4 linked regions of the Arabidopsis thaliana genome follow. The protein of the gene in region 1 interacts with the protein of each later gene in a pairwise test. Each region holds a gene or a part of one and is shown on either strand. Other genes may lie near its edges. The genes, in order: IAA19, ARF18, HB21 and SPT.

Region 1 (7,321 bases):
GGAATCGGTTAATATGTTTGGTTTTTGTTCATCTTCCTCTCTTTCCGGCCTAGTCCATTGAATAATGTGCATACACTATTAAGTTAGCTATACACATTTATAGTTTTATTTTTTATTTTTTAAAAGCTATAGAAATTTATGATTATTTTTCTACTTCAAACAACTGAACAAGAAATATAAAATTTTCGAATTTTTTGGTCTCTTCACTTCTGATTTTCACAACATCTATTCGAATTTGAATTGATCTTAGAATATCCCATTTTGAATATGTTTAACTCATATCACAATAGTCTTTACATGCATATCTCTAAACGCGCTATTTGTAGAAGTAAAGTTGGGTCCAATTGACAAAAAATCTAAATAATTTTTTCAACGGGGATTAAGGGGTAAAACGTTAGGACATAAGTAAGTCTTCGTATGTGACAAAAATATGAATAATAAGTCTTTCTATCGTGTCTTGAGGGGCAAATGTAAGGACCAAATTAGTTTTGACGTGGCCAATAATCATATATAATGATGTTGTAACAAATCAACTTGTCTCGTCAATTCTCTTCATATTTATCTTAAACTAAGTAATGGCTACTAAACTCTTGTATTTTGTATTTTTGACCGTGTTTATATTGCTCAGTGTGTCCAAAATCTGGTGGGAAGCTGCTAATGAACCACGAGGTAAGTATTTAAACTAAATTTGTAAACATCAATTTTAACTATCATTCAACATTTTTTATGTATACAATTCTTTGATGTAAACAAATCATTTTTTTTTTGTTTTAGTTTTAACGACCAGAGAGTGGCTCGATAGACTCTTCGAAACAAAAAAAGCGTTCCTTCGCATCGGATTTGACGAAGATCAAGAGTATTTTAGATCTTATTTCGTGCTATAGATTTATTTACAACTTCACATGTATCATGGTTTTCTGAACGGCAAAATGTTTTACTAGGAGAAAAATAATGTTTAATATATCCGCAGAAACGGGCCATATGTCGGAAGATTGGGTTAGAAGCTACCGAATCGAAAGCCCAACAAGATATCGAACCAAACCCTATAGTTTTACTTTGGCATACTTTAAACAGATTTTCTGTATCTGACGCCGTTCATTTGTTTTACTTTCTCCTTAACATCCGACGACTATTCTTATGATAAAGAAATAATATCCAAGTTAAATAAATATTTACTCGACTAATGCGTCCGCTAAACACTCGTGCTTTCCTTTTATAGCTTGTTGCCTATTTGTCGGACAATGTTTTATAATTGTTAAAAAGTTTATTGAACATTTTAAAATTGTATATTTTGGAGTCGAGAAGAATCAAAAGTTATTACTAATATTTATTAATGAAAATGACTAACACAATTTAAAAACGGAAAAGTTATTCGCAATCTAAACGTTACATAAACTATAAACTAAAACGTTACAGAACCTATGAAATAGCATACGGCTTAGGGCTCACTAGTTATTGAGAGTTCTAAATTTTGACTTAACTAAAAGTCCTTATGAATCAATATTTTTCATTAACAGTAACCATTTCAGTATTTCTACATAGGAGAGCCTTCTTTTTCTGTCATCACTTATTACTGTTGCCTGAAACTATTCCGGTAAAGATTGGTTTTTAATTTCCCTTCATGCTTAACCAGATATTCACCTGATTCTCCCAGTACACATGTAATTTATGTGCTTTACATAAAACTTAAAAAAATACTGACAATAATTAAAATATTCGTTTGCAGTTTCATAATTTAGTTTATGCTGCTTATGGACGTGGGAACATGCTTGTAGTTTAACTTTTATTTGGTCGTCAATTTGATTAAAAATTATACCTTCATTGATTCTTTTTGAAAGATACGTATTGTGAATAATGTATAAAGGATTTAGAACATAATTATGATCCTTGAGACTTGTAATATTTTATTAACTAACCGAAAACATAAGCAAGAGAATCGTGGATAACGACCTAACGTATAAGAAACATGAGACATGTCACAATCACTTTAAAAGTTTTCCTATCAAAACTCGAGTAGAAGCACATGAAATTTCTGGATATTAAAAATAAATAAATCAAAATAGCCTTATATTATTGCTGTCAGGAAATAATTCTATTTAGACTACCTGAATTTCCAGTTGAACGGCGTTTTTCCAAATTGCAAGCATCATATATTATGCTCATCGTATCATTAGTGCATAAATAAACTATGGACCAATTTCATGGTGAAAAAGGGGCTTCGGATGAAATTTTTGATCAAATTATATTTGTTTATTGATAAAACAAACGTTTTTTTTAAAGGATGACAGTTGTGCGTTTGAGATGAAAACCAAACACTGCTCCCACTCAAAATTTGTAAAAATGGAATTTATAAATATTTGGTGCTACAAATGTCGTTTGGTAGCCTTTGGAAACATTAAAGGTAAACTAGAGATATGGGAGTATGGAACTTAATCTCTTTATGTGGTTGTATTTCATATAATTTCACGTGGCCCAACTTGTTTCTGTCAATCCATTGATCAAAGTTGGTAGACAAGAGTGAACCCACACACACTCACACACATACACACGGTCGATCTTTTTTTCTATTCTCGTGTCCCTACGTCCTCTAAACCCCATCATTATACTTCTTGTGTTTTATTGGTATGCTGAGCTAGAGATAGTTAACAACTACCCAACAATGCGGGTCTGGCTTAGTTTGAACCTATTCGAAACTAGTTATACTCCGCTTGAAGTCATTGGTTCGAGACTAACTTTGGAGATGAGTATCATAAACAGCTCTAACTTAAGATTACAATACATCCTCTTGTTAGTCTAAGTTGAGAGGTGTTGCCATTGACTATATATTTCTTTGGGAATTTGGTTTACCAGGATGTTGCAAAGAAGATTTAAATAGTTATAAATTAGTACAAATTCAATCCATATGATATGATATTCAAAAAACAAAAAAAAAAAAAAACTGATCTAAAAGTCGAACCAAATTCTAATTTGATTAGAGCATGTATATAATTGAATCCCTAAGTAAAATTCAACCCAATACTTGAGAAGGTAGTTATATTCTTATAAATTATGGATATGATTTGATTAAAACTCAAACCTGAACCCAAAACATACTAGAATATACGTTTTTACTTTGTAACTATTTGTCACATTCCAAAACTAAACTCGGTACTATATTTGATTCTGATCCATACAAATTTTGTATATCTGGTTTATATTCTCCATGTGAGATTAAAGCGGTGACCAATCAAAATCATTGCTGGAATATCTTACTATTAAGCTAAATGTTGTTAGTTATATACAAGCCAATCCAAAAAAACTGATGCAAAGAGAGATAAACGAACATATCCCAAAATGGTAGGATTTGATTTAATATTCCCATCCTCTTATTAGAAATGCAAACAAATAGACTATAGTTTTATTTATTTATTTTCACTATAAAATAACTAAATAACATGAACTTATTGAAGAAAAAGTATACTATAGTTGTGATTCTGTGATATACTAGTTAGAACAAGAATCTTTACAAAAAAAAAACACATGGGATGTTAGGAGAAGGAGATTCGGATTCCAATGATCCAACGGTCAGAGAAAAATCAGAAGAAAATTTCACAACCGTAGGATCTGTTCCCTTAACCACCTTGTAATGCCGGTCTTTATTAATTTTGAGAAAAAAATAAAAACAGCACCAAACTTATGTCTCTCATGTGACCGACCACCGCATCCTCAGTTGACCTGTCTCTGCCCCCACTTTGTCTCCCCACACAAACTGAATAACAAGAAGAAGAAGACTTTAGATATCAAATGACTCCACGTGTCGATATTGGATTGGTTTTCATTGGTTGTATCGTGTGGACCAACGAAGCAACATATAAAAAGCACGACGCGGTGCCATTACTACAATAAGAGAAGTGTAGGAGAAGAAAGTTCTCATTTCATAATTGTATCAAATTGTGAGAGGAAAAAAAGAAGTTCAAGAAATGGAGAAGGAAGGACTCGGGCTTGAGATAACGGAGCTGAGATTGGGGCTTCCGGGGAGAGATGTGGCAGAGAAGATGATGAAGAAGAGAGCTTTCACGGAGATGAATATGACGTCGTCGGGTAGTAATAGTGATCAATGTGAAAGCGGCGTCGTTTCATCTGGTGGTGACGCTGAGAAGGTTAATGATTCGCCGGCGGCGAAAAGCCAGGTGGTGGGGTGGCCACCGGTTTGTTCTTACCGGAAGAAAAACAGCTGTAAGGAAGCTTCGACCACGAAAGTGGGGTTAGGGTATGTGAAAGTGAGCATGGATGGTGTGCCTTATTTGAGGAAGATGGATCTTGGTTCGAGCCAAGGCTATGATGATCTAGCCTTTGCTCTTGATAAGCTCTTCGGTTTCCGTGGCATCGGTTAGTAACAATTATGTTCTCTTCCCATAAAAGTAGAGTGGTAATTAGATCATGTGGAAAACAACTAATTATATATAGTTTACAAGACGTCCGATTAAGAACTTAGAGTGTTGTAGTCTTGTAGACGTAATGGAGTAGTATAGTTTAGTGCTGTTCTTTCTTTTTATGTCTACAACCAAACCAACACCCCAATTTATGATACAATGACAACACTAATACAAATATAGTTAGAATTTTGGTTAGCAGTTGAACTGATTGTGGTAGCAATGTTATAGATTTTAATTTAAAGTGTTATGAAAGGACAAATATGTCGAGATTTTTATTAGTCATCTCAGGAAATTTATTTACTTGTTCTTAGAGACTTAAGACTAGTCCTAATTTAACTGGTTATTTTTCTCCAAACTGTTTTGAATTATCTGAAAATTATCTATCATAGAAAATTAGAGGTTTCGGTTACTACATATCCGTAATTTCTAAAAATCAGAATTTATGCACCACTTGTATAGTTGTATTGTTAATTAGACTTTTCTATATACCGAATTCGCCATATTATCAACACAATTTTAAATTTACATATATACATATTTGTGCAGGTGTGGCCTTGAAAGATGGTGACAACTGCGAATACGTTACCATATACGAAGACAAAGATGGAGACTGGATGCTCGCCGGTGATGTACCTTGGGGGTATGTTCTATCTTTTGACTTAAGATATCTCACTACAAAAAGAAAATGTATCACAAACTAAAGTAAATGAGTTTGGATATTTTGATTTGCAGGATGTTTCTAGAGTCATGCAAGAGGTTGAGAATAATGAAAAGATCGGATGCTACCGGGTTTGGGCTGCAGCCTAGAGGAGTAGACGAGTGATGATGACTTGAACAAGAAGCAAGGAGCTGGTTCATTAATTTAATCTTAAACTTGATCATCAAGATCCTTTAGAACATTTTTCCTATTCATGTTATATAAATATATATGTTATAGTATATTATTTTGCAACAAAATTTCATGTTATGGTTTTGCATAATTATCTTCAGAAAGACAGCTATATATATATACACTACTTGTTTCTTGAGTGTTGAGTTAAAACATTAATCTGTTTCAAAATTTATTGTTATTTCGGATCTATATATGTGTGTAGAAACATATGTAATAAGTATCCATTATTTCATCTTTTTAAAAAATAATAATTATTATTTGAATCTTTCATTGTTGATATGTTATGTATACCTGTGTTTTGGAAAAAATATGGATATTATAAGCAAATCTAAATAGATATTTATAAAAAAAGTCTACGTAAAACATTCGTTAGTTTTTACTTCTACTTCAGTAAGTGACATCACAAATCTAAATAGATGTTTTCATAAGTATATAAGTGTAAGATAAAAACAAAGAATTCATTCTTCCTTTTTTTTCTCTTAGAGTTATGCTTGTATAATTTATTAGTACTATAAGATTTTTACTAGTAAGTTTTTATTCCAAATATTCGTATACCTCCGAAGAAATTAGTTAATTCATAATCGTAATTTCACATTCAAAGTTAAGATTGCTTAATTTAAAGATTTAAGCTTATTCTTCATTTTTTTTTTTTTTTTTGTAATGATTCTTTTTATAGATATGCACATCTTGCTTTTGATAGCATAAGTACTATCAATTATAGAAAACACCGACATGTTCGGTATGTCAACCTAGTTTTTGTTTTTCTATATTGTTGTTCTGTACAATAAAATTAGTACTTGGATTTACAAAAATTAACATATGTGATTATGAAACGAACCCATATGATTTGTTACAACTGTGACCTACCCATGTGCGTTCCAAACCAGAAACAGCAAAGATTCAGCCCATCCCCTCTCACTTGTGCTTTTTTCTTGGCCCAAATTAACGATACCATCATCATTATCAACCACACTAAATAAGTCTATTTTTGATTACATACTCTATACTCACTATACGTACTTTTGGATTCGTTCAAGCCTTCAAGGCTTTTCACATATTCAAAGGTCTTTGTATTAAACTTTGGTCAACATTACTATCTAAAATATTTCCGTTATTTTGAAAACCACAAACATGCGTTTATGTTTTAAACTTTTAATGCATAGGAATGTCAACACGTTATCTAAGTCATTTTTGACTGTAGGTTTCCGACGCTGGTAAAGCCGTGCTACTCAGGCCCGACCCAAATGGTGAGACAGAGAGACCATAGCCCATGAATCCAAAACTATTACAGAAAACAAGAAGGAAATAGGCTCAGATGTTTTCAAAGAATAATAGAAATAACCCAAAATATATTTTTAAAAAGGCCCAAAACAATTTAAACACATTTTTAGGGGCCCAAACTTTTTCCAAGCATAAGTTTATATTAAAAAAAGTCTTTCTGTTTTTAATATTCTCTATTAACAACAACAAAAGTTAAGAAAAATACCCAAGAAATTCGTAATCACTAGACCTTTTGATTCACATTTTAAAAATTCAAAAAGGATCCGTAGGTAATCAAAGTTTTTTTGTCACAAGAAAGATGATCATAGAGCCACCAAACTAACTTACTCCATAAATGAAGAGCGTGGGTCCGACGTGGCATATAGCCGTTACAGTCCCACATGGCCGTTTCAATGCTTACGTGGCACTCCTTTTTAAATTTTTCTTCTCCCAGTAGCTGTTATTATTATTTAAATTATTAAAAAGGGAATGAATGGTCATCGTTAAACTCAACTAAAATCCGACCGTTGTTTGAGTTTTATCTTCTTCTCTTGTCTGAAAACAGAACACTCCCAAAAGCTTATTTTTGCTTTCTCTTTGGTTAAAACACAATAATCTAGAGAGATAGTTGATCTTCGTGACTATGATGGGCGATTATGGTATAACGGAGGAAGATCTGGTGATCGAGGAAGCTCAAGGCTATCCTAGAGCTTACACTAAGATCTGTCGCGATTTTGATGCTTTTCCTTACAAA
Region 2 (9,412 bases), about 18 Mb from region 1:
AAAAATATAATCGCTTATAACTAATTTTTATATCAATACAACAATAAATTACAGACCACATATCTTAAACTAATATAGAATTTTGGGTCTAATTTTGACCAAAGAAAGTAAAACGGTTTGTTATGTAAATATTCAAAAATGAGGGGTTGGAGAAGAAATAGAGAAGGACCGACAGGAAGCGACAAAAAAGAAGAGATAGGCCCCAGTTTTGAGGCGTGATTAGCTTTTATGAAATCTAAGGACTTTTTTTTTGATTCAATCCAAATCCCTGATGTTGACAACTGTCTTTCCTACCCAAACACCCACCCCACATTTCGTGTCGTTTTGATTTCCTAGATTCGCCTTGCGTGGCGTTTTATTTAGCCTTAAACGACCTACCAAGTCGACCTGTTCTTTATTCTCCGGCCTTTTATACTAAATGGCCTATCAAATTTATTGGGCTTAAGAACATCGGTATATATTAGTTAGTTGCTTGACTCAAATACAAAATGAACGAATTTAGCCACCAGAATTCGAAACTTTTTTAATTTTTTTTATACAAAAAATAATTCGCAGGACCATTTGATGTAATGATTATCGCATATGGAAGATCACATCTTATGCATTATTTGTCCATTTTACTGGCCCACATTGCCTTTTCGCAACATCCTATCTTCTATACATTCGAATCCAGCTCGAGCATCATAAAATAATTTGACAATTATTAAGGTGTTGGGCCAGTATATAGACTAAGAAAAGCCCATAATTGAGTAAGTATGGTCCATACAAGTAAACGACGGCGTATTGTTTTGTATTATTTTTTTAAAAAGCTCTCACAGAAGCTTTCATTTTCAGCTTCTTGTTCTTCCATGGAACTTCGTGCAAAACAAAAGAAGATACAAACATGTTCTTTCTGACAAGACAAGAGAATTTTTTTTTTAAAGAAATAGAATGAAGTTTAAGGTTAATTTACCCAGAAGTAACACCTAGTGACGTAAGAGAAACAATGGAGACCTTTTGTTCTTGTGGTCTTGGTATCATCTTCATCTTCCGATGGATAAATATAACTTCCACTTCCGGCCACATAAGCATCACCATCTCTCTCTTTCTTCCACCGGAACCACCGTTTCCACCCGGCGAGATAACGACCATGATTCGCTGTCCGAGGCATTTTGGTAAATTCGTCAGGAAAGAGCATCCTCGGTGGCAAATCAAGACACTTGGAGTAAGAAGGATGACGAACATGGTGTTTAGGCTTGCCAGGTTCTTCTTCCCATGAGAAAGGAATCGAAGCGCGAGAGAGTGAATCATCAGGGGACGACATGAGTGACAATGACACGTCTTTAGTCGTTACCGGTGATGATAAGTATTGTAGCCTTCTCGATTTCGCGGCTAATACATGTTGAAGTTTCGATGTGATGATTATCATCGTCTCATTATCGTCTGCGTCAAAACTTGTATCTTTCTTGTTCTTTTTTTGGGTTTTAACCATATCTCTTTCTTGTTTCTGCTTATTATGATTCGTTTGAAGAAGAAGACAATGGATTAAATATATGTAATTGTCATTGAAGATGCAACGCTGTTTAACTATAACCATTCCTCGAACTGAAAGTCAAACCCGTACTCTTTGGTTGAGGAAAATTAGTCAGATTTAATTCGACTACAACTAAAACTACGATCGTGTTTAATTTTGTTTTCTGTCACCTATTAATTTCTTAGTATATGTATGAAAATTTAAGTTTTGTTTGATTTTATATTAATGGAGTACGATATTTGTAGCTCATACTTTGAGTATGATGGTCCTATGGATGTTCGTTTTGTATGATTTGTTCGGACTGAAACTTTATATCATTTATAAAGGTAGAAATGTTTTTACAAATCTTTTATCCAAACAGAAAAATGTTTTTTTTTTTTTTCTATACTACAGCTCCAAAATCTATTCAGTTTAGTTAGCTTGAGGCTTTTTTGGTTTTTGTCAAAGTAAAACAATTTCTCCATACCAAAAACAATTAATCTTTAGCAAAAAAAAAACAGTTGCTCCATACTACATAAGTACATAACCACCACCAAACCAATACTAAGTTTGAAAATAATTGTATTGTTTTCTTCTTCATTATAAGGCAAATCTGAATTAAAAGTTTAAAACAATATTTTTTTTTTTGACAAATATCAACTACAGTATACACTTCATATGTGACTTTATCCGAAAACAAAATAGATTTTCTTTCTTTTGTCATTTGCATTTTATTAAAGAAAAATCTGATGCAGCTAAAAGGTTTGGAAATTAAAACTTAAGAATTTTTATAGAGAACATCATGGAGACTTATTTTTGGCACGATAACATGAACTTCCAAAGTTTAGTTTTCATTTTTTTCGATTTCAGTTCAATTTTCTAATAACACTATATCCTAGAAGTTCATTAATCCACAAATATTTTTACCAACTCCAAAAGAGAATCTTAACTAGTCGTTTGACTCCTTTACTTTTCCATGACTTTCATATGATGCCCGCCGCGTTGATTTCCACGCCTTCACGTATTTTGTATTCTTCTCTAATACTGTAGTTTTTTTTTTTTTAAGCCTTAATTATTGATTAGAAATATAATCTTTGAACCCATAACTAATTGAATGTACTTGGTTTTGAAAATTGAATGGTTATGGAACAAGTACATACACATAAAAGATGTAAAACCGCCCCATCAACCACTGTCCCAAAACCGAAATATTAAATCGCCAACTTGAAAAATTGACATGAAAAAGAGGACAAGACTTTATATACACAGACTAAAAAAAAAGTCTTTAGACACTTACGCACTAAAACGACGTCGCCGAATTAACCTTAATTAACAGCTAAAACTCTCACCCCCTACTACGATTTTCGAATGATTCATTACCATATTCCTCATTCTCTAACGACGAAGAAATCTTCAGTTTCGTTGTCATTTTCTTAACCTCATCGCTCGAATATATAAATATCTTCTTTGCCATCTTGCAAAACTCACTGCACAATCCCACACAACAGAACATTGCAAAATCAGTTCCGGTTTAAGTTCACATTTAACTGATTTGAGCTAAACCGGAAATGTTTAACTCTGTTATTTTAGAACTTACTTCCACGGATCATCACCAGCAAGCATCATATCTCCTTCATCATCAGTGAAGACAACGATCCATTTGTCTCGGGCAAGAAGCTGTCCTTGAATCTCAAACATCTCCTCAAGCTCATCAATCAGTTCATCGTAAGATTTCAACAGTGTTAAATCAACCGCACGACCAACCGCAATGCCTTGCATTTGCACCTTTTTCAATCCAAGATCAAAGAAATCAGATTTTCAAAACATTGTTGCTATGTTATTATATGAGTTGATAAAGAAAATTACTTTAGTTCGACTTCTTGATGTTTGTTGCTTCTTCTGCTCACTCATTGAGGTTGGAGTGATGGGTTCTTGACACTTGGCAGCTCCACAAGTATCCATCGGTTGCTTGTCTTGAGGGATTGGAGCAGGAGAATTGCTTGTGAGATCAAATCCAAACAACCTATAGCTACAATTCGTTGGAGGAGGAGGAGTCTCGGGTTTGAAGCTGTTGTTTGAGGAGTATCCACCTGAAATTCTCTCAAGTGATGGATCTTGAAACAGTTTAAGGGATGCATTAATGGAATCTTGGCTCTGAGGGAGGCTGTACAAGAAACTAGGTGGGGCTGGTGTTTTAACTGATGGCTCGATGGGTCTTGACCGCTTGCATTTCGATTGTGGTTGTTGAGCAGGAGTTGAAATTGGGGAAGTTGCCAAGAAAGGCTCTATCTCCCATGGTGAGACTTTATCTGGTCTCTGAACTGTTGTTGGCTCATCCCATTGTACCTAAGAAAGACCAAGACAAAAACGTTATATAAAGACCACGTAATAAGTAAAACACTAAAATGTAAGAACGTGGAATGGTTAACTGAACCTGCAATGACCTCCATTTAGAAGCTGGCCATTGTGAAGATAGATCTCCACTTCCCACAATCGTACCAGTAAATCTGAAGACGTTCCAGGTTTCAGAATCAAGAACACTGACAAAAAAGAAATGATCAGAGAAAATGGATTCTTACATTCTCTCAGGAGACTCTTCTCCTTCAAACCTCATTCTGAATCGGGTACCGAGAGAAAATCCATGCTTTATAGCTTCCATATACTTGTTCACCCCAACTATGAATTGGCTTATCCTGCAAAGAGAGAAAACTTTTCTTCAATCAAAGAGTCCTAAACCATCTATGTATATAAAGCAAAATCATCTAAAGAACATTACTATATACCTAGGCTTGTAAAAGACAACAAAGATTGTTGTTGTACGCACAGCATGAGAAGCTGTAGCAAGAACTCCCAAATGCATGCTCTGACTTGAAATAACCGAAGTAGGCATTGTGCTTTGATGCCGAGCTAATCGTCTCACTCCAACCCGTAAATCCCCATTCTCACCCCTGAAAAACACAAAGGCATTACATTTAGGTTCATGAAACTAAACAAGACCAGTGAATAAAGTTTCAATTTCAAAAGTACCTCAAGAACACAAAAGCATCTCCAGCTACAAGTCTTTTCGAGGATACAAATGTACTCCAACCCGTAGTAAGCAAATGCCTCCGTGGTTGTCCTAAACCAAAAACGGCACTCAATGAGTCAATGTCTCATTTAGTCCAAACACAGTTTCACAAAAACACACCAAGATTAGAATCAATACCTCTGAATATATGCTTAAACCTCCATTCAAAGCCATGAAGATCTCTAGTCACAAGTTCTTGAGTAGGAGTAGCTTGTGTCATATCCTAAAAAGTGTAAAATTGGAGTGAGAATTCAAGCTAAAGTTTCTTGAATTGAGAAGGTTTCTTTAAGAATATATTTACCAAAGAAGGCAAGCATTCAGTGGCGTGTTTACGAAGAACAGAGAATCCACCATGAGTGCTTGTATCTGAAGCCGTTAAAATCTTAACAAACGAATGAAACTCTTGCTTAGTTGGTCCAACAATAGGTGGATCAAGACTTGTTGGTTCACTTTGCTGCAAACAAAACAGTAAATTGAAATCAATTCCAATCAATATAAATTAACACTCACTGAAATAAAGTTGAGTTTTTTTTTTAAGAACTTACATCTTCCTCTGGTTGTAATGTGATCTGAGCGTAAACCTCATCTGTTTCATGCTCCGCCTATAAATCAAAATTTAGTTAACAGATTCAGGGGAAATAAAACATTTTAACATTTATGATCCAACTTTACCTTTAAAGTGACATCAAGAACTCGACAAAGTATCTTTGGAGGAAGATCAAAAACAGGTATTTCTTCTGAATTGATTCCTTGATTAGTTGACGCCACAAGCTGCAAAAAAACCCAGAATTTAGAAAGAGAATGGAAAAAGAAAAATTGGGGTAAAAAGAGATGATTTTTGGGTGGGTATATACTTGTTCCATGTGACCCTGAGGGAAGTAGAAAACTCTCTCTTGAGCACGAGGAACTTCCACTAATGGACCTGCACAAACTTTCCATAGCTCTGTGTATAGTTGATCTTGATAAGACCCTAAAATCAAACAACAACAAAACCCTAACAGTCACATTTCCGCGGCAAAACTATAACAAAAATGTGAACTTTGAAGCTATACGAGAAAAATAAGAAAGTTGGGGTTTTTTCTATTTCTTTCTAAGCTCGTCTCCCGAGAAAATGAAAGAAAAAAAAATCGAAACTTTACAAAGCTGATTTTGATTCTACAGAGTAAAACCCCAAACAGAGTCACTGTTAGAAACAAAAAAAAAAACAAAACTTTCTAAAGTCTCAGCCTTTTACTACTCACTTGACGAAGAACTTCCGAAATCATCATCACCTTCAACACTCGCCATTGAAGAACCCAGATGAGAACTGGAGAAGAAGAAGTAGAAGGAGAGGAAATGAAAGAAAATAGAAAGAAAAAAAAACCTTCACGCGGTAAACACTAGTCTTAACCCCATGAAAGAAACACGAGAGAGAGAAGAAAGAAAAGACCCATCAATGGAGAAAATAAAAAAAGCAAAACTTTATAAACAGGACACAACGGACGGTTATGTCCGTATTGATTGCAGAACGTAATTCAGGCACTGTTGGATAAAACTAAATCTCTCCCCTTTTTTTTTCCGTCAGCCACGAAACCGATCTCTCTCTCTCTTCCTCTTAAAATCTTTTTTTTTTTTTGTCTTCTCCTTTCCTTTCAGATTCCGTGTTGTTTTGCTTCAACAATCACAAACTTCTCGCCGTTTTTATCCCGATCCGCAGCAAACCAAAGCTGCTTCCTTTACTGAAGAAGTCTCACAGTATCATGCACATACATATATTCACACTCTCTCCTTCTTTATCTCTCTCTATATATCAAAATATAGAGAGACTTTCTCTTAGTTCAGATCCTGGAGACCTGTCATTTCCACCCACAGTAACTTCAGTTGAATCTCCCTATTTTTCTATTCATTTAATTAAATGTTTTCTAAAATTGTTGTTTTTTGTTTTATCATGTCATCGCTAAAAAGGAAACTCAAATATATTAAATGCGCTAAAATAAAACAAATTGTATTCAAAGGCAAACGAAGGGTCACGCGGCGTTTTGGGAATTGCTTATGAACTAATTACATTTTATTATGTAAAAAAAAAACGTACGGTGCATTTAAAGGAGAGGGCAAATCTCAGCCGTCCGATCAAGACGATAGTAATAAATAAGCTTATGACTTTACTCTATATCCCTAAATTGCCCTTTTTACTGATGACCCCGTTGCCGTTAGCACTTGACGGTGCCGTTACCCACATCGTCTTGTGTCTGGATCGTGGCAGGCAAACGTGTCGGCTTCTCTATTAAACCCCGGCCACATTTTCTTTTTTCCGTTATTTTTTTTTTTTGTGTAACATCAGATAGATTGTTTTTTCCGTTACAGATTTAATTTTTATTTAACACTGTGGAATGTGAGTTAATTACACATTATGCCATTGATCGTTTTTTTTATTTAGGACCCACAAAGGCTATGGCTACACCCACACTCGCACAAGGTCACAGCCATGACTCTTTATGGGACGAGCGTCTTGGGAAGCGTGTGAGTTTTATGTTACCACGTGCCGAGTCAGTTCTGAGTCGCTGGTGTTCATGCTGTATTCTTTTTTTTCTTTCACGCGCTTTTAATCTTAGCAAATCAAAAATCGAAATTATTTGAAAAATTCATGTTTACGGATTTCATATAATTATCGTTAATTGCTTTTATAGAAGGAACTTTTGAAACGTCAAATTTAAAAAATTAAATCGGATAGAGGTGGGAGACACGCGCTTAGTAAATGAGAATGGTGAAGAAGAGTGATAAAAAGTTGAGAAAGCCATGCCGAAGTGTCGGAGGAGAAAGTGGTCCCCACATGGACACGTCAGAGTAAGAGAAATTGCCACGCTGTTTAGTCGTATTCATGACCGACACGTGTCAAATGCTGACTTGTCCTACCAATTTTGCTCATTTACAGAGGAAATTCTATCGCTATTTTTCTTATTTTATTTTATTTTTCCCAATGATAGTGAAGAAAGACTATGATCCAAAAATATTATTGCGTTTTGATTTGTGTACACCCTTGTATTTAATAAAATTTGCAACACGAATCAATGTTGGCTTGTAACCACCCGATGAGACTAATGCTATCACTCGATACTATTTGGGTTTCAAAATCTTTTTTATAGCTTAAGATTTACCTAGAAAACGTCGACGATATTACATAGCCTTACCACTCTTTTTTACTTACAAGTTTGTATAATCATAAGTTCATAGTATTTTTATGTTACCATATACGAGTATTTATTTCCACTCAAAGTTATAGTGTAGACTGTAGAGTTCTCTCGCTAATTACATAAGGCCTACAAATGTGTGTTGTTGATAGTGAAACACTATTACAACATTCAAGCTTCGTTGATGAAGATTATGTGGCCGCGTTACAAGACGAAATATAGATGTGATGTATTATTGATTGGAATCATATATAGTCTCACTTCTCTAACTAGCTGATAGAGGGGTAAAAAAAACTTTTTTGAATCCCACCCAACAAAAAAATAATTAAAATAGTGCATATGATTATTGTACGGACAAATCCTTGCAAAGCGGAGACGAGATATGAAAGAATCGAATTTCATCACCAAAGGTTGAACTAAAGAGTGAAACATAATTTTAGAAAAGGTAATAGGATGATATTACCATAAATATAACGGAATTAAAATAAATTTAACAATGATTCTTATCCTGCATGAGATTTCATGCTTGCATATCTCTCACAATAATATACACCTAAAGATGATGCCAAATTTGAACGTCATTTTAGTTGCGTTCGTTTTTCTTGGGTGAAAATTTGAATATCTTTTTTTAATTCAATGACTAATTTAACGAGCTGCTGCGGATATTCTCTCTAGTTGAAATTATTTATACACACAAAAGGTTCAAATAGTAAAATAAATAAATAGGATTACGAATATGATCATTCAAAGTGAATATGAACGCATGGATGGGAATAAATAACTATACATTAGTTAAGTATTTTTATTTTTAAATTGCGTAGTGGTTTAGTGGAATCCATTCCACAAAATCTTTTAATTTTGTTTATTCTTCTTAATCACTGTTATATTCCATTGATATATTTGATAATATACTTAATCACCTGTTTAGTCATAGTCACCACGTCATTTTACAAGAATATAGGAATATTTGTATTACTTATATTTATATATTGAACTAATCGACAGTATTCATTTGTTATGAATTGTAAAAAGAGAAGGAAAAGTTGTGGAAAAATACCAACATGGTCCTATCTTCTACTATAAGGTTATGGTTATCAACAGTACACTACTTATCATTGCAGAAAGATTAAGAAGTACTAATCAAACCAATATGTTTAGATTGTTTTAAGAACCAAATTTCTTGCTTAGGTTGATAACCCAGTCAAGCAAATAACATTTGATTCCAACTGTCGTATTTACCTTCAACCTCTTGCAATAATTGAACTTTCAAACTTTCCACAAACCAAACTTATTTTGTACAATTTTACTATTTGACCGTACACCACATTTCGTCCCTGTCTTCCATTATGCCTAATTGCTTATAACGAGTATACAATATACGTAACATCAGAAATTTGTAGAGTTTTATATAAGCAGAAACTTATTTATTGTTTTCTTTTGATTTTGGTGGAGCCTTAACAAGAGCATTTTAGGGGTAATTATTTTAATAAATCTTAGCATAGGTCTTGTTAGACAATAGTAAACAATAATTTTAAGCTGTGCTAAAATCATAAAAACGACTCTTCCCTCCACTTAAAGGGTAAGGTGTCTTAAAACTCTAAGTTTGCTAATGACCAATAATTATGATTATCTTTATAGTCAATAATACTAATCTACAAATTAAAAGCTCTCTATGCGTATGCCCCA
Region 3 (7,362 bases), on another chromosome or scaffold:
TCAATATTTTTGAACGATTAGCAAGTAAAAAATTGTATCACTGAAAGTTTTCAACCTAGGCCAAGTATATGTGGTTTAGTGGTAGGGGAAGCTTTGGGAAGGATGAAACTCTTAGACCCGAGTTCGATTCTCCTTGAAAGTTGGTAAGTGTATAAGTTGGGTCTTGGTTTAATTGGTTTACTTGGTAATTAGAAATGTAGGCGGCCGCCTGACTACCCCCTGGCATTAGTCAGAAAGCATTTCAAACTCGTGACAGACAGACAGTATGGTGGTTTTTCGGGAAGAAGTCCACTCGAAAACATTTCGGTGTGTTTTTACTAGGGCTAACCAGATCAGCCGATAAGGTTTATAAGAAAAAAAAAAAATTGAATCAAAATCATTTGTTAAATGTTCCCGACCCAACGACTACCAAATAAACATGATTTCATTGTCGATAGTCATCGCTAACGATTATAAAGTTAACAAAATATAACTGATTGTCATTGTTGCTAACGACTAAAAAAAACTAAAACCGTAAAATATGGTATAGATGTGAGATTTTTTGTCGAAATTAGACTTCCTTTATTTTGAACTAGAACTTCGAAATTCAAATTATTAGATACTTTTGTCTAAGTAGTTTCTTCGTCATCTGTTTCTTCCACTTCCACGTGTGTAAATTTTTCGTGGGTTTCAGGATTAAGTCTTCCTTATGCTATTTCCTTAGTCTTAGTTGTTGACAAATATGTGCCCGTAGAATCTTCATACTTTCGAATGACAAATTCATCGCCAGACTCACGGTCACGCAAGAATGGAAGGTTAGACACCTCAGGCACATTCAAGTGTTGAAGCTCTTCAATTACTTGATTATAGACATACTAATATTTGAAAAGCAACAAAATTATGAATTTTTTCAGATGAGAAGTTAGGTCAGTGCTGTCCTCTAGTAGTTCCTCTATTACCTGAAAGAAAATGAATAACACACATCATGTCATCATACATGCAAATACAAAATCTAAATGTATAGTATACTACTATTTTGAACTAAACCAAGTAAAAAGTACCTCTCTACCACGTATAGTTTTAGTACCAATTATTTCATATGCTCTTTCGGATCCCTCCGTTAATGGCCATTTAAAATAGTCACAATCGCAAAGAATGCACATCTCCAGAAAATTATCGTCTGTGAATTCTGAAAAATCGTAAGATTTTGCTTCTTCTTTAGTTTCTTTTTCGTTGTCTTTATTTTTCTTGCTACTATGAAACCGCTTCAATAAGTCTATCATTTCGAGTTCAAGCAATTCAAAGTCTTTACTGGCGAAAATAATTTGTGATCACACAAAAGTTTAAAGTGGTAGTAAAAATTAATGTTATGTCTACATGAGAAAAACCTTTAAAATAATAATAATTGATAAGTGTATTAAAGAACTTACTCTTCAACATCTAAATGGTATGAGGTCAGTGTTAATAGTGAGAACCGCATAAACGCTTTTATCTTTATTATTAGCCAAATATACAAGCTGTGAGCAGCAACGATAAACTCAATATTCGGATACTTTTTTTTTTTAAACCTTCAATGGGAGAAAAAAGAAAGGTTAATAAAAAATTAGAAAGAAGTGAAAATTCTTAAAAATAATTATTTACCGTAAATGTTACCTCAATGAAAACATGTATCACATAAGGCGTGATGTGTATATGACTTTGAAAGATCTTAGTAGCATTCTTCTCTTTGTCCTTTCTCTTAGGGTCATCGGGAGCCATAAGTTGTGCTGATGCGTCAAGATCCTTTGCGTATTCTAGAGTTTTTATTGGGTTCCGCGGTGACTTAATAGGTAAACGATGTCCATCGAAAACAAGAATAGGATTCACATTACGGTCGATGAATTGTTTGACTTTTTTGATGACAAACATTATATGTTCAGAGTTGGGTGTAGTTGGTTCCTCCAAGAATTTCCGGGCATTATTTAAAGCACCTCTGTATAACCACATTGAAGCGTCAATTGCGAGAGTTTTACTGTTGAGAGCGGAAAAACTAATTGATTTCAGAACCTTGGATTTTCCATAGAGAGAGTACAAACTTGTGAAGCCCATAGCTTACAATTATTCTTTTTTTTTCTTTTTGAAGCAATAACAAAAAGGAGTGTGTGTCAATATATATAGTGTGATGAAAAGAGTCAAAATTTCCCGTTAGCTATTCCTTTCCATTATTTCTGCTATTTTCATTTTTTCCTAGTTTACATTTTTCTATATTATTATTGTTATATATTTCCATAATTTTGTTTGATTTTGCTGGCCGATTTCATCGTACGGACCTAACCCGGTTCGGTTTGGTTCAACTGTATTTCTATTATATTTTCTGGAAGTTTTTCTATTAACTATAATATATATTAGGTGATCACTCTCGATACGTCGCAGTTTTTTCGGATTCTTTTGTATTGTTTAATTTAAATATAATTTTTATTTATCTAATCATTCACTCATGCAATAAAAAATTATTTCAGTATTAAAATATTTTTTTTCTAACAACATTCTCAATAATGCATCATACACATCATTCATAAACAACGTTCATCTTAAACCAATTTAACAGAGGGTAGTGTTCGTAATTAGAAACATAAGAATTTGATGATGGATCGGAGCTCCGTACGTATTATGTACCCTCGATGATTTATTATATAAATATCAATTTAAAAAATAAACTACTCAAATCATTAACTAATTCACGACTATTATACACTCATACTTTGAGTTTGGATTACAAAAAAATCTTCGAGTATGAAAAAACTATTAAAATAAAATATTTAAATAAATTTATTGAAAAATTTATTGAAAAATCATGTAATATTTAAATAAATTTAGTAATAGTACAGTAAATATGTAAAATAAAATCATATATAAAATTAAATAATAAATTTATCATTAACTTATAAATTAAAAATTGAAAAGTTTACATTAATTATTTAATAGACACATGATAAATGTTAAAGTGATGATGTATCGATCATATGTAAAGAGTTGGATAATTTATATATATATATATATATATATATATATTTTATATTGTTATAGTGCTATAATGCTATGTCAATCTTGAAGGAGATAAAAATATATTTGAATAAAATGACGTTTCAATAACAAAATAATAGTAATGGCAATCAATAAACTATGTCAGTTAATTGAATTTTTATCTTCCACGAAATACGCAATACGCAATTCATTATTGATGTTTTACTGAAATCGAGTGATAAACTATAGGCATAAAAAATTATACTACTATAAAACAACAAGTGAAAATGTTACATTTAATATTACAATAAATGAAACATGTGATATCACAAGGAACAACAACATCTTAAAATCGTAACTCCATTTTGATGCATGACATATTTTATCCCATATCACATTACACGACTTGCAATATGCCAAGAAGTCACATAAAGTAAATGCACATAATTGTTCAAATAAAAGAAAAGGTCCATAAATGAGTTTACTAGTACACCAACCAAACATTTACTCAACCTAATACGTCATACATATTAGGACTTGACTTACACTCGCCAGGACAATCTCCAACTCTCTCCATTGATAGAAATCGTAATTTATTGCTCTCTTTGTTTTCCGTGCAATTTATTTTTCGATCATGAGAATGAAAATATTTTTTCAAACTAGAAAACAAAATAATAGAATCAAAGCAAGACCGGATGTTTAAAAAACAAGACAAATCAAAAAAAAATATTTTGTTAAATCAAAACAACGACAAAAAAGAAACAAGACAAATCAAAACAAGACCGGCGTAAGATTTAGGTAACTAGTATTAATTTTGTTATGGACTTTGTATGATACACTTCCTTTAATAAATATCAGAATTCAAAAAACAAAAACAAAAAGAGTTACCTATGAGAATCTAAAATTCTGCTACTCACATAAATAGTAAACGTGACAAATGATATCACGAACTACAAAGTCTAATGATTCGAAGTAAATAATAACAGTGCACATCCCAATGCATTGGTTAAATCGCCAAGAATTTTCTTAAACATACATTATAAGAAAACATCAAAAACTTATCTTACACGCTCCAAAACCAAGATTATAGGTACCCTAATAAAACACATGTTTATAAAGCTACCTAAACAATGATTAGCCGAGAAAGGAGAAAACATTAACCATACGATAAGAAAGTACTTAATTAATTAAGTAATCACATGAGTGAAGTTATATAACAACAATCTGAACTTAACTAAGGATTAGTAGAAGCAAGATTTTCAGTAATGTCGTTATTACCAGCAGAAAGGTCGACATTGTTACTAACGTTGTTGCTCTTCTTGGAGAGATTTTGTTTGTTGTTGTGCATCCAAACTTTAAGAACTCTTCTCCTAATTCCAATCTCTTGACAAAGCTGTTGAACAACAGATTCCTCTTGTCTCTGAATCTTCCAACCAACTCTTTCCGCAAAACTAATCATCTTCTCCTTTTGCTCTTGTGTAAACTTTGTCCTAAACCTTTTCTTCTGATTATGTCCGTAACTATACGGTGATGGTGGTGGTGGTGGCTGCCGGAATGTCAAGCTTCCTCCGCCTTCTTCCTCCATAAGATCCTCTGACTCTGAGTTGGATCCAGCGGTTGTAACGCCAATAGGCATTATCATTTGTTGTGGTAATGGTGATTTGATCATCTTGTGGTGGAACATGAGTTTTCTCTGCTGCGGAGGTGGTTGGTGGTGGTTGAGGTAAGGGGAAAAGAATGTTTTCTCTTCACCTTCGGTTTCTCTTCTATGAAAGTTTCTATGGCAGTTGCAAACTGAGCAAGTGAGAGCTTCAATGGAACCTTCTTCACCACTTGGCATAAACTCTCCACAACCATCAATGGCATTGCCTCCCATGGTAGCTGCATGGTTCTTTAGGCATTCCTTGTACTTTATCACCACAGGCTTCTCTTTCTTGATGTTGGTAACCATGATGTTGTAACCCACATGATGATGATGAGAATGATCATGATTTTTACCAAGACCATTACTATTTGAGGAGACTAGTAGTGGGTTTGAAGTAGTAATGTTGAGAGATGATGGTGCAGAATTGGCATGATGATGATGGTTCATGTTCCCATGCCCACCTCCACTATTACCATAACTAGTGTTTATTGGAATAGGATCTTCTTGACTTGCAATCTCCATTCTTTTGATCTATCTGCCAAGGAAATAAACACGATTTTATATTTAAAACTTTTTTTGGGTTTTGCAAAGTGTTTCTTGGTTTGGGGACAAAGAAACTAGTTAGGAAGAAAAAAACAAGAGTAAAGATAATTAATGAGTAAAATTCAAATGATTAAGCTACAAAAAGGCAAGAGCTTTCTTCACTACTCATTAACCCCATTTTTTTAATTATTTCCTCCAAACAAAAAGAAAAACCCTAATTTTAGAAGGTCCATAAAGATAGAGAACAAAACGAAAAAGTACAAAAGAAAAGAAAAACTTATTGCAAGCCTGCTTAAGCAAAAGCTGACAAACCCACTTGAGAAAGAAAGGTCTTATTCCAAGTGAGAGGTTGATGATAATCAAGAAGACAATCTTTATTGTATCACCAAAACAAAATTGTTCTATTTAAACCAAATGAAAAAATTGACTGAAGAAGTTAAGAGCACATACCCACAACCAGAAAGAGCAGCAAACTTTATCTCAAAATGAAACCTTTCTTGAGAATAACCACAAGGTTCTGAGAATAGAGAGAGGCTAAGGAGTTTAGAGATTTAATTAGGGTTTTATAAAGTGATAGACTTTGAAGAAAGAAGATAAAGAGAGAGAGAGAGAGAGAGAGAAAGAGAGAATTGCAGGTGGGTTTTGGATGTGAAGGCACTTCTTAAACTAAGGGCTTAGAGTATTAGTAGTGAAAGCCAATAAAGCATGAGAAAGACACATGAGAGCCATAGCCATAGCTAATTATTTCCTCACTTTTCTACAGACAAAGAGAAAAAAGATCATTAATTAATTACACCTAGTTTTCATTTTATTAATTCATATATAGGATATTTTATTCAATAATGTCTCTACCAAATTAAAATTTGGGTGATAATATATAGACAAAAACAATACAATTGTGATCAAAATATGGAAAAGAAAAAGTGTAGCTAAATTATTTGAAACAAAAAAAGCTACATCATTTAATTTAAAATTTGAAGAAACAACAACAATCACTAAATTAGACTTTATAAGATAAGTAGTTATTCATTTTTATATACATTTTTACTCATGAAATGTCATTTTATAATATTGATATATCGCAGTCATTGATGAATTGAAGGTTATATTGAATATAAGACCATCCTCATTCTTCATTGGTGATACTTTGAGGGTGTCTTTAAATTAAAAATAATAGAAAAAGATAATTTAATGTTTTTAATTGTGTAATAGTGTCTTTAGAAAGACATTTTAGATCTCTAAAATAGAAGCTGTCTTTAATTTAATTTTAATTTATTTTTGAGATATCTACAAAGGTATGAGTAATGTGGATGCTCTAAGATTTTCATATTCACCCAAAACAAATTATCAGTAAAGGGAAAGAAAAAAAAGAAGAGAGCCAAGAATTAGGATTATGGGAGATTGCTTGTCTTGCACTATCAGACATCAAATTTACAACAGTGTAGAAACGTGTCAGATAATTAGTGGGAAGAGTATTGAAGTAGATAACAAAGAGAAAGTCATAATAAATAACAATATCTCATCTTTGTTCCAAAACATTAAATAACTAAAAATTTGGTAGTAAGGTATAATAATAATATTTTTTACCATCTTAAAATTTAAAAGTGTGAGATTGATACTAATTCAAAACGAAAGAATGTTCTAAACATTACTATAAAGCCTTAACTTGTTAAGCTAGTTAATTAAAAACACATATTGTTCCTTTACCCTTCGGCCTTCGCCATTAATTATGTCACGTATGATATTAGCTTCAAGAGGTTGTCATGTCATGCTTGTGAATTTATATGATTTACTTGAAGTTACTATTAATTATTGGTCCTACCAAATATGTGCACTTATATACCATGATCATCCGTTTTCTGGAACATACAATTGTGAGAAAGAATCAAAAGATAAACAATAAAATAAAAATATCATAATCAACTGATAATATAGTTACTGAAATATATTCATAAACCAAAGTTTGTTACGAGTTTTGTTAAGACCAAAATCTCGATTATTATTAAGTTTTGATAATATAAAGTTTTTGGTTTATATTGCGGGCTATCAGTGTTGTAAAATTAGACTCTATGTTATAGATGATATATGAACAATTGCTCTTGGGTGGCAGAATTGTAAATTTTGGCCTAAAAGTATATATAGTAAGTCTTGGTAAATAGATTTTTTTTATTGCTTTACATTTTCGACTTAAT
Region 4 (8,162 bases), on another chromosome or scaffold:
GTGCTTTTCCCATCAGAACTTCGAAGCACTTTGTCAACAATTTCATCAAGGCTCTACACAAGAACCAAAGTAAAGTATATTCACTACTGCTTCCAATATTCCAGTGATACAAAATATCGCAAACACAATTCTCAATCAATGACGTTAGAGCGAGTTTTTTCACAAATTTTGCTAAAGCAAACTTACCATGAATGAGCTAACAAAAGCATGGGAATGAGTACCACGGAGGGGTATCCCAAACAGTTTTCCCGCTGCAACATTACTGCAGTAATAAACAAAGCAAGCAAAATGAGAAAATCATATCCTCTCTTCCCTTTTGATGTTTCCATAACAAAACAAAAATATCACTAGTAAAGACATACCTTGTTGCATCAAAACCTCCAAGGTAGCAATACTTTGATGCGCTTATTGCACCATCGGGTCCCTATAACAATTGCATATCAGAGATGCAACAAACAAAACCTCAACATCTAAGGCTAAACATAGAACAGGTTTTGAGAGGGAAACAAACCTGAGCTCTTCTAGCACCAAACTCAAGCAGAAGCTTAGATTTTCCTGCAACAAACCGATGTCTTGCTGCATTTGTAGCAACCAAAGATGCGTAATTGATGAGATTGAGGAATGGAGTTTCCAACAATTGCACCACCTAAGTAAAGAAGCACAAGAGGAATCAGAAACTGATCATTCCAATTATGAGAGTTAGAGATAGATAATAAGAACTCACAGCAACAGGACCTTCGATTCTGAGTAAAGGAACTTTAGGAAAAACAACTGATCCTTCCGAAATGGCATACACTTCAATGTCAGAACAATCAAGCCCTCGAAGATAATCACAGAAAGCTTCCTGATTTTTAAAAGAGTTAAAAAACAATGCCAAAAATCGAATCTTTTGGCAAGAGAGATTGTGTTATACCTCACATCCAGGTAACGAATCACGAACGAAATCGATCTCTTCATCAGTCAAATTGAAATTAGCGAGAAATTTGATGCATTCTTCTAAACCAGCAAAGATAGTGTATTCTCCACCAAAAGGATTCTTACGAAAATACAGATCAAACCTGAAAACAAAGATGAGATTTTACAGTGTGGATTCAAAGGATCGAACTTTTTTGTAAATTTTGAAGAATACTAACACAGATCGCTCAGATTGTTTGCCAGCTTTCCAATAAGCATAAGCCATGGTGAATTGGTAAAGATCGTTGAGCAGAGGTGTGACCATCGGGTTAGTGGGTCCGTTAATGACCCGACCCGATTGCTTTCCATCGAGACCATTTTCTTTCTTCTCCATTAGAACTCTGTTTTTGGTTCCGGCGTCTCCAGCGAGTTTATTTATGAGTGTTTTTTAGGAGAGGGTCGTCACTGAGTCTTTAACAAAAAGAGAATGACGAAACTTTAGTATCTAAATTTTTTTCAAGTTTCAACTACAGTCGCATTCAAATATATTTTGTTCTCTGATATTTTCACCGAAAGAGAATCCTAATTACTTTTCCTTTTTTCAAAATATATCGTTGTATGATTTTACTTTTATTGTTGTTTTACAAATAAAATAAAATAAATAAATTGTATGTTCAATACTAGTTTTTGAAAAAAATATAAGATTTATGTATTTTCAATCCAATTTTAAATAAAGTTCTAGCTCTGTCCCTTTTACTTACTAAAGATTAATTGGAGAACTAAAGCTATAAGTATACTAATTAAGGGTTAATAAGATATTTAAGCATTTTTTAATTATCATAAAAGATCTTAAAACAACACTTATAAATGAAAAACTTTTAAAAGACACTTACAAATGAAATTACTAATATACCAAATGTAAGTACAAAAATGTGAAGGGTAAAAGATTTTAAAAAATTGTATTGTAAATGATCAATTTGAGAACAAGAGATACCAAAAGAACATGGTCAACCTTAAAGATACCAAATCCATCTTGTAGAATCGAAAACTTCTCTAGAAGCTTATCGGGGTAATTTACATATCCAAAGCCATCGAGTATCAAACTCTCAAATACAATACGAAGATGATCTAGAAAATTTACATCCACCATAAACATACAACAATCTAACAATTAGTCAATTACTTTGTAATAAAATTTCAGTCCTTTTTATATATAGCTATTAGATCCAAAAGATTAGACTCTAGAATTCGTGTCACCAACAATTGATTTTAAATAGAACCTTAGAAAAAATAAAGACAGTTAAATGCATCTCCATTGTCAGACAGCTTTATGGCTTGCGTTCTAAGAAACAAGAACACATAGAGATCCCGAAGTTGGGACACTGTTCAAGTAATTCGATCTTTTAGGTCAGGTTGTCCATCAAACAGAGCTTGTTCCCCTGCAAATCCCCAAATATCGTAACGTTATTAACATTGTAAATGTCCTAAAACTTCCTTAGGATTCCAAAACAACAAGACTTTACCGGTTATGTTTGCGTTGGAATGACCAATGTTCAACCTTGGATGAGTTAACCCACCTTCCCGACTCATCTCCTTAAGTAACAAAAAAAAATTAGTAAGCAAACTAGCTTTATGGTTATAGAATGAAAAATGTGTAATTCAACTACGCACCACGGGTGAAGTAAGGAGAGGGAAAGGTCCAAAGTGACTGCGAATAGAAGGTTCCAAAGCGTATGAAGAAGCCACAGTATTGATCATTTCCGGTGCATTAGAAGTCGAAGCAAACTGATTGGTATGATTAAGCAGAGGATCATTGGTTGCTTCAGGGGGTCGAATCTGAGAGAGTTGCAATGGGTGTAATGTAGTTCCAGGTAAACACAAAGGATGCAAGTTTATTCCATTTCTCATAGTCAACATCTGCAAATATCAGAACAAAAAAAGACTTATGTCAGAATATAGACTGGTTTTAGGATTTTGGTTATAATGATAAACATAAGGTATCTTTAGTGACCTGAACTTGGAGCTGAAGCTGTTTCAGATACTCAATGGCTTCATCAAGCATTGAAGCCTTATCCGTCTTCCCCAATAAACACATTGCAATAATCAGACACAAAAAGAATCTACAGAAAATAGAATGATTCATGTAGATGTCTCTCTATATATAGTATCATTACCTTATTTGAATTAGGGATGAGACTTTGTAAAGCTTTCATTTTTTCATTAATTCTACTTCTCCTCCTCTGTTACAAGAAAGATAAACATAAATCTCAAATAAGAAAGTTTCTACTTTTGGGAGAGACTCTAAACCAAACCTTCTCAGAGAGATTATGAACTTCAGCAGCTCTGCATCTTTTAGATGAACTACGAGAAGAAGGACCTGACTTGGAAGAGGGAGCTTCATCAACTACAGCTTCTCCTCCTTCCTGTATTTTCATTGAAGCAAATTATCAAACACTCGGTGTGCATTCATTATTACACTCACAAATGACAAAACTTCACTCAAAATCACAACCAAAAAAATTGCGGATTTTAAGGGGGAAAATAAAGTACAGATCCGTTAAAGAGAAATCTCTGTAGAAACATTTTCTCGGGAAAGAGACAAAGAATCAACTTTTAAAACATGCAAAAGATAAAAAACAGAGATTGAGAAAAAACCTCGCTTTCACAGTCATACTCATCTGTCTCGTTGCCACTAGCTCCAACGGAAGAAGACGATACTCGAGTCCCAGAGCTATTTCCTTGAACGTTGTTATTATTACCACCACCGGAGAAACCAAAACACGCGGCGGCTGAGCCTGATCCTCCGCCGATTAAAACCTCAGAGAAATCTCCGACACGTTTCGACATAAGCACAGAATCTGACGGTGGATGATGAGAAACGAGACTTCTCGAGTTATCTGCATGTGGGTCACCGCTCCCGTGCACACCAATCAAAGACGCCGTCGTTGTAGTCGTCGCCGGGGAGTAGTAAGAAGGTAAAGGAGAAGAACGGTCGAAAATATGCCGGAGAAACTGAGAGATTTCGTCGGAAGAAGACGGAGGATGATGAAGATGATGATTGATACGAGTATCGTAAACCGAGGAAGAAGAAGAAGATGAAATCAATTTCTTATCTCCCATCACTCTCTGCTTCTTCTCTTCTCTTTCTTCTCTCTGTGATATCATTACACCAACAACAAAAAAAAAGCAGTTAAAGCTAAAACATTTTTTTTTTTAAACAGTCTTTGAGATTTTATGGGCATGGAGAGAGGGAGAGTGTCTGTCACGCGCCAGCTAAGAAAACAGAGGTTAAAATGATTGGTCTGTCATTTAGTTAAAAGTGAAGGTAGCTGTTACTGTAGCATTAGCAATGAGCTTGTGTCAGCTCACGGTTTTTCAAACTAGTCGTAAATATTAAATGTTTTTACTCTCCCAAAACTTTTCCTCGTCGCACGTGAGACACACTAAACTACTACTCGTAGTTAGTTTTTTTTTTTTTTGGGGTAACAAATAATATACAACCTTTATCTGTTTTCTCATAGTTTATTATTTAAAATGGAAATCTGCTACGGATGAAATCGATAAAGTTAATATTCATATCATTTAGAAGAAAACAAAAACTGTATTTGTATATCTCAAAGTTTAATCTGATGGAGAGATTTTTAAGAAGTCCATTAATCTATAGAAAACGAAAGTTATACGTCTTGGTTGTTTGACAAAAGTATTTCCATTTCTAGTAATTTGTTTTTTTACTTGTTACCATTAATTAGTATTCAAATTTTGTATGATATTGTAACCCGTGGCGTGATAAACAAGAATACATTAGTTGCTTGTTTGCTAGTTTATTCTATTGACTAGTATATAAGAAGCCCATGCTACTGACATGCGTTAAATTACTTGCGACTTTGATTTGTTCTTGTGTTGTGAAAATTATTAACTTTACGGTGTGTGTTTTCAACTATATACCTCGTTCGTATGCTTTCAAATTGGAACATAACATCTGCTATAATTAACTATCGAATTTTTAGTAAATTCATTTTATATGATCCAGCTTTATATCTAGTGTTTTATAGTAAGTTTTATAGAATAATTCTATAAATAATGATGACCACGTTCACATATCCAATTTGCGGCGAACAAAGTGAATGCACGAAAGTTTCCAATTGCGTTCTCAACTGTGCAGACAGCAGCATCAATTCTTTAATGAAGTATTTTTAAAATATTGGTCGTAAATTTGTAAATATATTTTGATCGTTCGCAGCGTATGAAGACTTAAAAAAAAAGAAGTTAAAGTTATATATATTTACACTATATAGTTGTTAGTAGTATTTTATTTTAGTTTTTGCACTGAAAACATCAATCGTACTTGTTCGCTTGATGAATGCACAAACTGCATCATTTATTTCATTGCAACATTCACTTAACCTCGTATATACAATTTTTGAAACAAAGGAAAAGCATATGGGAGACAATTGCTAAAAGCTGCAGCTATTTGTTCAGCATCTGCTTTTGATTCAATTATTTTATTAAGTTCGTTTTTCTGGTACTATTTATACATATACAAAATAATTGTTTTATTAAATATCAGAATTAGAAAGTGACATTGTAGAGTCCAAATGCTTATAGTGGAATTTGTAATTGAGAACATACACAACAAAATGCGAAAAAAAATAATGAAAAAAGCGTTTAATCGTCAAATTAAACAAGGGATCTGATTTTACTCAATTACTCAACATACATATCTCATTATTTTGAATATCCTTATCAAATTCAACAAGATATACACATAAAAAGACAAGATTTACTACGGCTTCTAGAATTGTCAAAGATATTAATGAAACGATGGTTGAGATCTCTTTAATAATTTGTTCAAAATCAGCATGATACACTTTTTATTTTGTCTAGATTCTAAGAAGATAGTTGAATGTTTTCTCTGGTTTTTTAATTGGTGGTTTGATAGAATTTTCAAGTTGAGTCTCTGTATGTTAAAAGACCCATACCTCGTTGTCTTGTCTGATTTGAAAGTCGGAAAACAAAATAAAAAACAAAGATGATCCTAAACTTCTTTTTCACCTTTTATCATCGTTTCCCTTTTTCTTTATATAAAACACTGGCAATATCATATTTACTCATATACAACTATTTACCCATCTAAAACAGACCAAAGTTTCCGTAATACATATGCACCATAACAAGGATAACATAAATCAAACTCACGCTATTAAAAAGATCAATGTTTTTTAAGTTGTTCGTTGGTAGTTTCGAAGACAAACCAACCATAAGTACCTTACGAAACTCCAGAAGAGATATATTGCAGAAGTAAATGATATGCATGTGTTACACTTAACACATATAACTACATCCTAAAAGATTATGCGACCTAAGGACAAACTCTTCTCACACAACAAAAACAGTTCTTACTCTGTTTTTTTCTCCAAAGCTTTTTTCTTTTCGTCACAAATTCTGTAGCGGTTATCTTTCTTTTTTTTTGGTCTAATGTTAAACTCGGTTATCTTTTTATTGTTCAAGACATCTATATATTGCTGATTTGGACAATTTACAATTCTCCATATGAAGATTGTTGGTCTCTTCTTGCTTTATTTTGTTCTGCATTTGACGCAAAATACATAACATATATACAACTACGAATGCTAATACGTGCATTTCTTAAGTTTTGGATTCTCCATATCCAGACATGAAGTTATATATTAGATGGTTACATAAACTCTGCGAGAGGGACCACGAGATCATTAGGATCTCTATCAAAAATTCAAGATCACACGTCAAATGAGATCCCCAAGACAACTCCCCACTTGGAACCTAACAATATAATCATTCATTTTAAAAAGGCTAGCTATCAAAAGTAAAATTACTCAAATTCAAAGGCTTTAACATAGAAGAACAGGTTTCAACTGTGTTGATAAAGATATATAACTGAAAACATTCTCATAAAAACAAAATGTAATGGTTAATCAAAGTAGTTACTCTATAAAGTCTGATAGATAGTACGCAATCATGGCGTTGTTTATTCATTATTACAATAATATATAGGTCAACAACTCAACATTAATATTGATAAAAGTGTTCAGTCCGGTCAAACTGAATTAGAGTTGTGTCGAGATAAATCCGTCTAACGTTGAATCTCTGCTTTAACCAATGGTAATCAAAACCAAAAAAAAAACAAAAAAAGGTTTAATAGAGTCAAATTCAATTTTCTTCACAAACAATCAATACAAAAGAACTGAAACCGATATCACCATGCCAAATCGATGGATATGAAGTTTTCATTTGGTCTATCTACTTCTTATATCAAAATCGTAATATAAAAAAATCAAAAACAAAAGCTATACACATAACCAGATTGGAGAGTTGTTATATTGTTATGATCGATAGAAAGAAAATTTCGAGCACACGCTAATGTATCAAGAACATATAGAATGGACCATAAAGACGATATTGTAGTTATATTTTTTCCAACAAAAAAAAAAATCACAGATCGGACGGTTGGATAAGCAAGTGGATAGAGAGGAGAGCCTAGAGATGCGCAAAAAAATAAGAAGCTTACGTCACAAACCTAAGCATTGATCTGACGGTGGGAAACTCACGAGAGATTGAGAAGAAGATGGTGGGAAGGTGCTAGGATCTGGTGTGACATCGTCCTTTTAGAGTATTCCCAAGAAGAGTATAAAACACACGTGTCGTTAATTCATTAGTTGATTGGTACAAAGTTTAGTAATGATCGGACGGTCTAAATAAAGCTGAGTTGTTGTTGTACTTTAGTTTCGATACGCACTCTATAAAAATCTTCTTCTTCTTTTCGCGAAGTACAACAATCCTATCACTTTGACTCTCTGTGTTCTACGCTCAAGTTCTATGCGCGTTGGTCACACGCGTACTTGAGACAGTGGAAGAATTTTTAGTTTTGTCAGAAGAATCTTCTTACTACTAAAAGATATGAATAACGAACTCATAAAGCAAACCAGAAAGAAAAAAATATCAATCACACAAAGTTTAAAAATGTAAATATCTAATTTGGTAACATTTTCATTAAAAACTGTCCAAAGCTGTTATGGGCTAGGTCCAACAACTATCAGAACATTCAAGGAGAAAACAAGATTTTACAAATGGGCTTTTAAATGGATATAGTAAACTTAAAATACTTTTCACAGACTACGTTCATAACATTGTGTAGGGTTAACATGTTTAAACAAAGTGGGCCTTAACTAATAGGCCCATTTTGTTCAAACGATGACAAGTCATTTTCTCTTATTAATTGAAAAGGTTTTAAG

Evidence for each region.
Region 2: the proteins of IAA19 (region 1) and ARF18 interact in binary tests that used the Arabidopsis thaliana proteins (3 or more experiments, as listed by UniProt).
Region 3: the proteins of IAA19 (region 1) and HB21 interact in binary tests that used the Arabidopsis thaliana proteins (3 or more experiments, as listed by UniProt).
Region 4: the proteins of IAA19 (region 1) and SPT interact in binary tests that used the Arabidopsis thaliana proteins (3 or more experiments, as listed by UniProt).

The regions. Positions count from the first base shown.
Region 1 is NC_003074.8:5,260,141-5,267,461, forward strand, and holds IAA19 (indole-3-acetic acid inducible 19), read left to right. Parts: upstream 1-3,860; 5' UTR 3,861-3,959; coding exon 3,960-4,368; intron 4,369-4,961; coding exon 4,962-5,055; intron 5,056-5,147; coding exon 5,148-5,238; 3' UTR 5,239-5,555; downstream 5,556-7,321. Other genes in the region: AT3G15548 (uncharacterized protein), read left to right, coding at 6,923-7,024; AT3G15550 (trichohyalin), read left to right, coding at 7,211-7,321. UniProt on the Arabidopsis thaliana protein: Aux/IAA proteins are short-lived transcriptional factors that function as repressors of early auxin response genes at low auxin concentrations.
Region 2 is NC_003074.8:22,884,605-22,894,016, reverse strand, and holds ARF18 (auxin response factor 18), read right to left. Parts: upstream 6,129-9,412; 5' UTR 5,847-6,128; coding exon 5,801-5,846; intron 5,750-5,800; exon of another isoform or gene 5,530-5,749; coding exon 5,414-5,529; intron 5,331-5,413; coding exon 5,232-5,330; intron 5,162-5,231; coding exon 5,105-5,161; intron 5,014-5,104; coding exon 4,861-5,013; intron 4,783-4,860; coding exon 4,698-4,782; intron 4,611-4,697; coding exon 4,520-4,610; intron 4,441-4,519; coding exon 4,276-4,440; intron 4,186-4,275; coding exon 4,072-4,185; intron 4,000-4,071; coding exon 3,927-3,999; intron 3,839-3,926; coding exon 3,359-3,838; intron 3,278-3,358; coding exon 3,090-3,277; intron 2,980-3,089; coding exon 2,838-2,979; 3' UTR 2,562-2,837; downstream 1-2,561. Other genes in the region: AT3G61840 (auxin response factor, putative (DUF688)), read right to left, coding at 944-1,471; AT3G61829 (uncharacterized protein), read left to right, coding at 6,695-6,826; AT3G61826 (uncharacterized protein), read left to right, coding at 7,294-7,386. UniProt on the Arabidopsis thaliana protein: Auxin response factors (ARFs) are transcriptional factors that bind specifically to the DNA sequence 5'-TGTCTC-3' found in the auxin-responsive promoter elements (AuxREs). Could act as transcriptional activator or repressor.
Region 3 is NC_003071.7:682,089-689,450, reverse strand, and holds HB21 (homeobox protein 21), read right to left. Parts: upstream 5,817-7,362; 5' UTR 5,621-5,816; intron 5,163-5,620; 5' UTR 5,150-5,162; coding exon 4,217-5,149; 3' UTR 3,955-4,216; downstream 1-3,954. Other genes in the region: AT2G02550 (PIN domain-like family protein), read right to left, coding at 687-854, 1,633-2,067. UniProt on the Arabidopsis thaliana protein: Putative transcription factor.
Region 4 is NC_003075.7:17,410,064-17,418,225, reverse strand, and holds SPT (basic helix-loop-helix (bHLH) DNA-binding superfamily protein), read right to left. Parts: upstream 4,144-8,162; 5' UTR 4,060-4,143; coding exon 3,550-4,059; intron 3,318-3,549; coding exon 3,207-3,317; intron 3,135-3,206; coding exon 3,069-3,134; intron 2,972-3,068; coding exon 2,906-2,971; intron 2,812-2,905; coding exon 2,566-2,811; intron 2,488-2,565; coding exon 2,418-2,487; intron 2,334-2,417; coding exon 2,281-2,333; 3' UTR 1,840-2,280; downstream 1-1,839. Other genes in the region: NAPRT1 (nicotinate phosphoribosyltransferase 1), read right to left, coding at 1-53, 187-262, 363-424, 512-646, 725-844, 914-1,058, 1,134-1,288. UniProt on the Arabidopsis thaliana protein: Transcription factor that plays a role in floral organogenesis. Promotes the growth of carpel margins and of pollen tract tissues derived from them.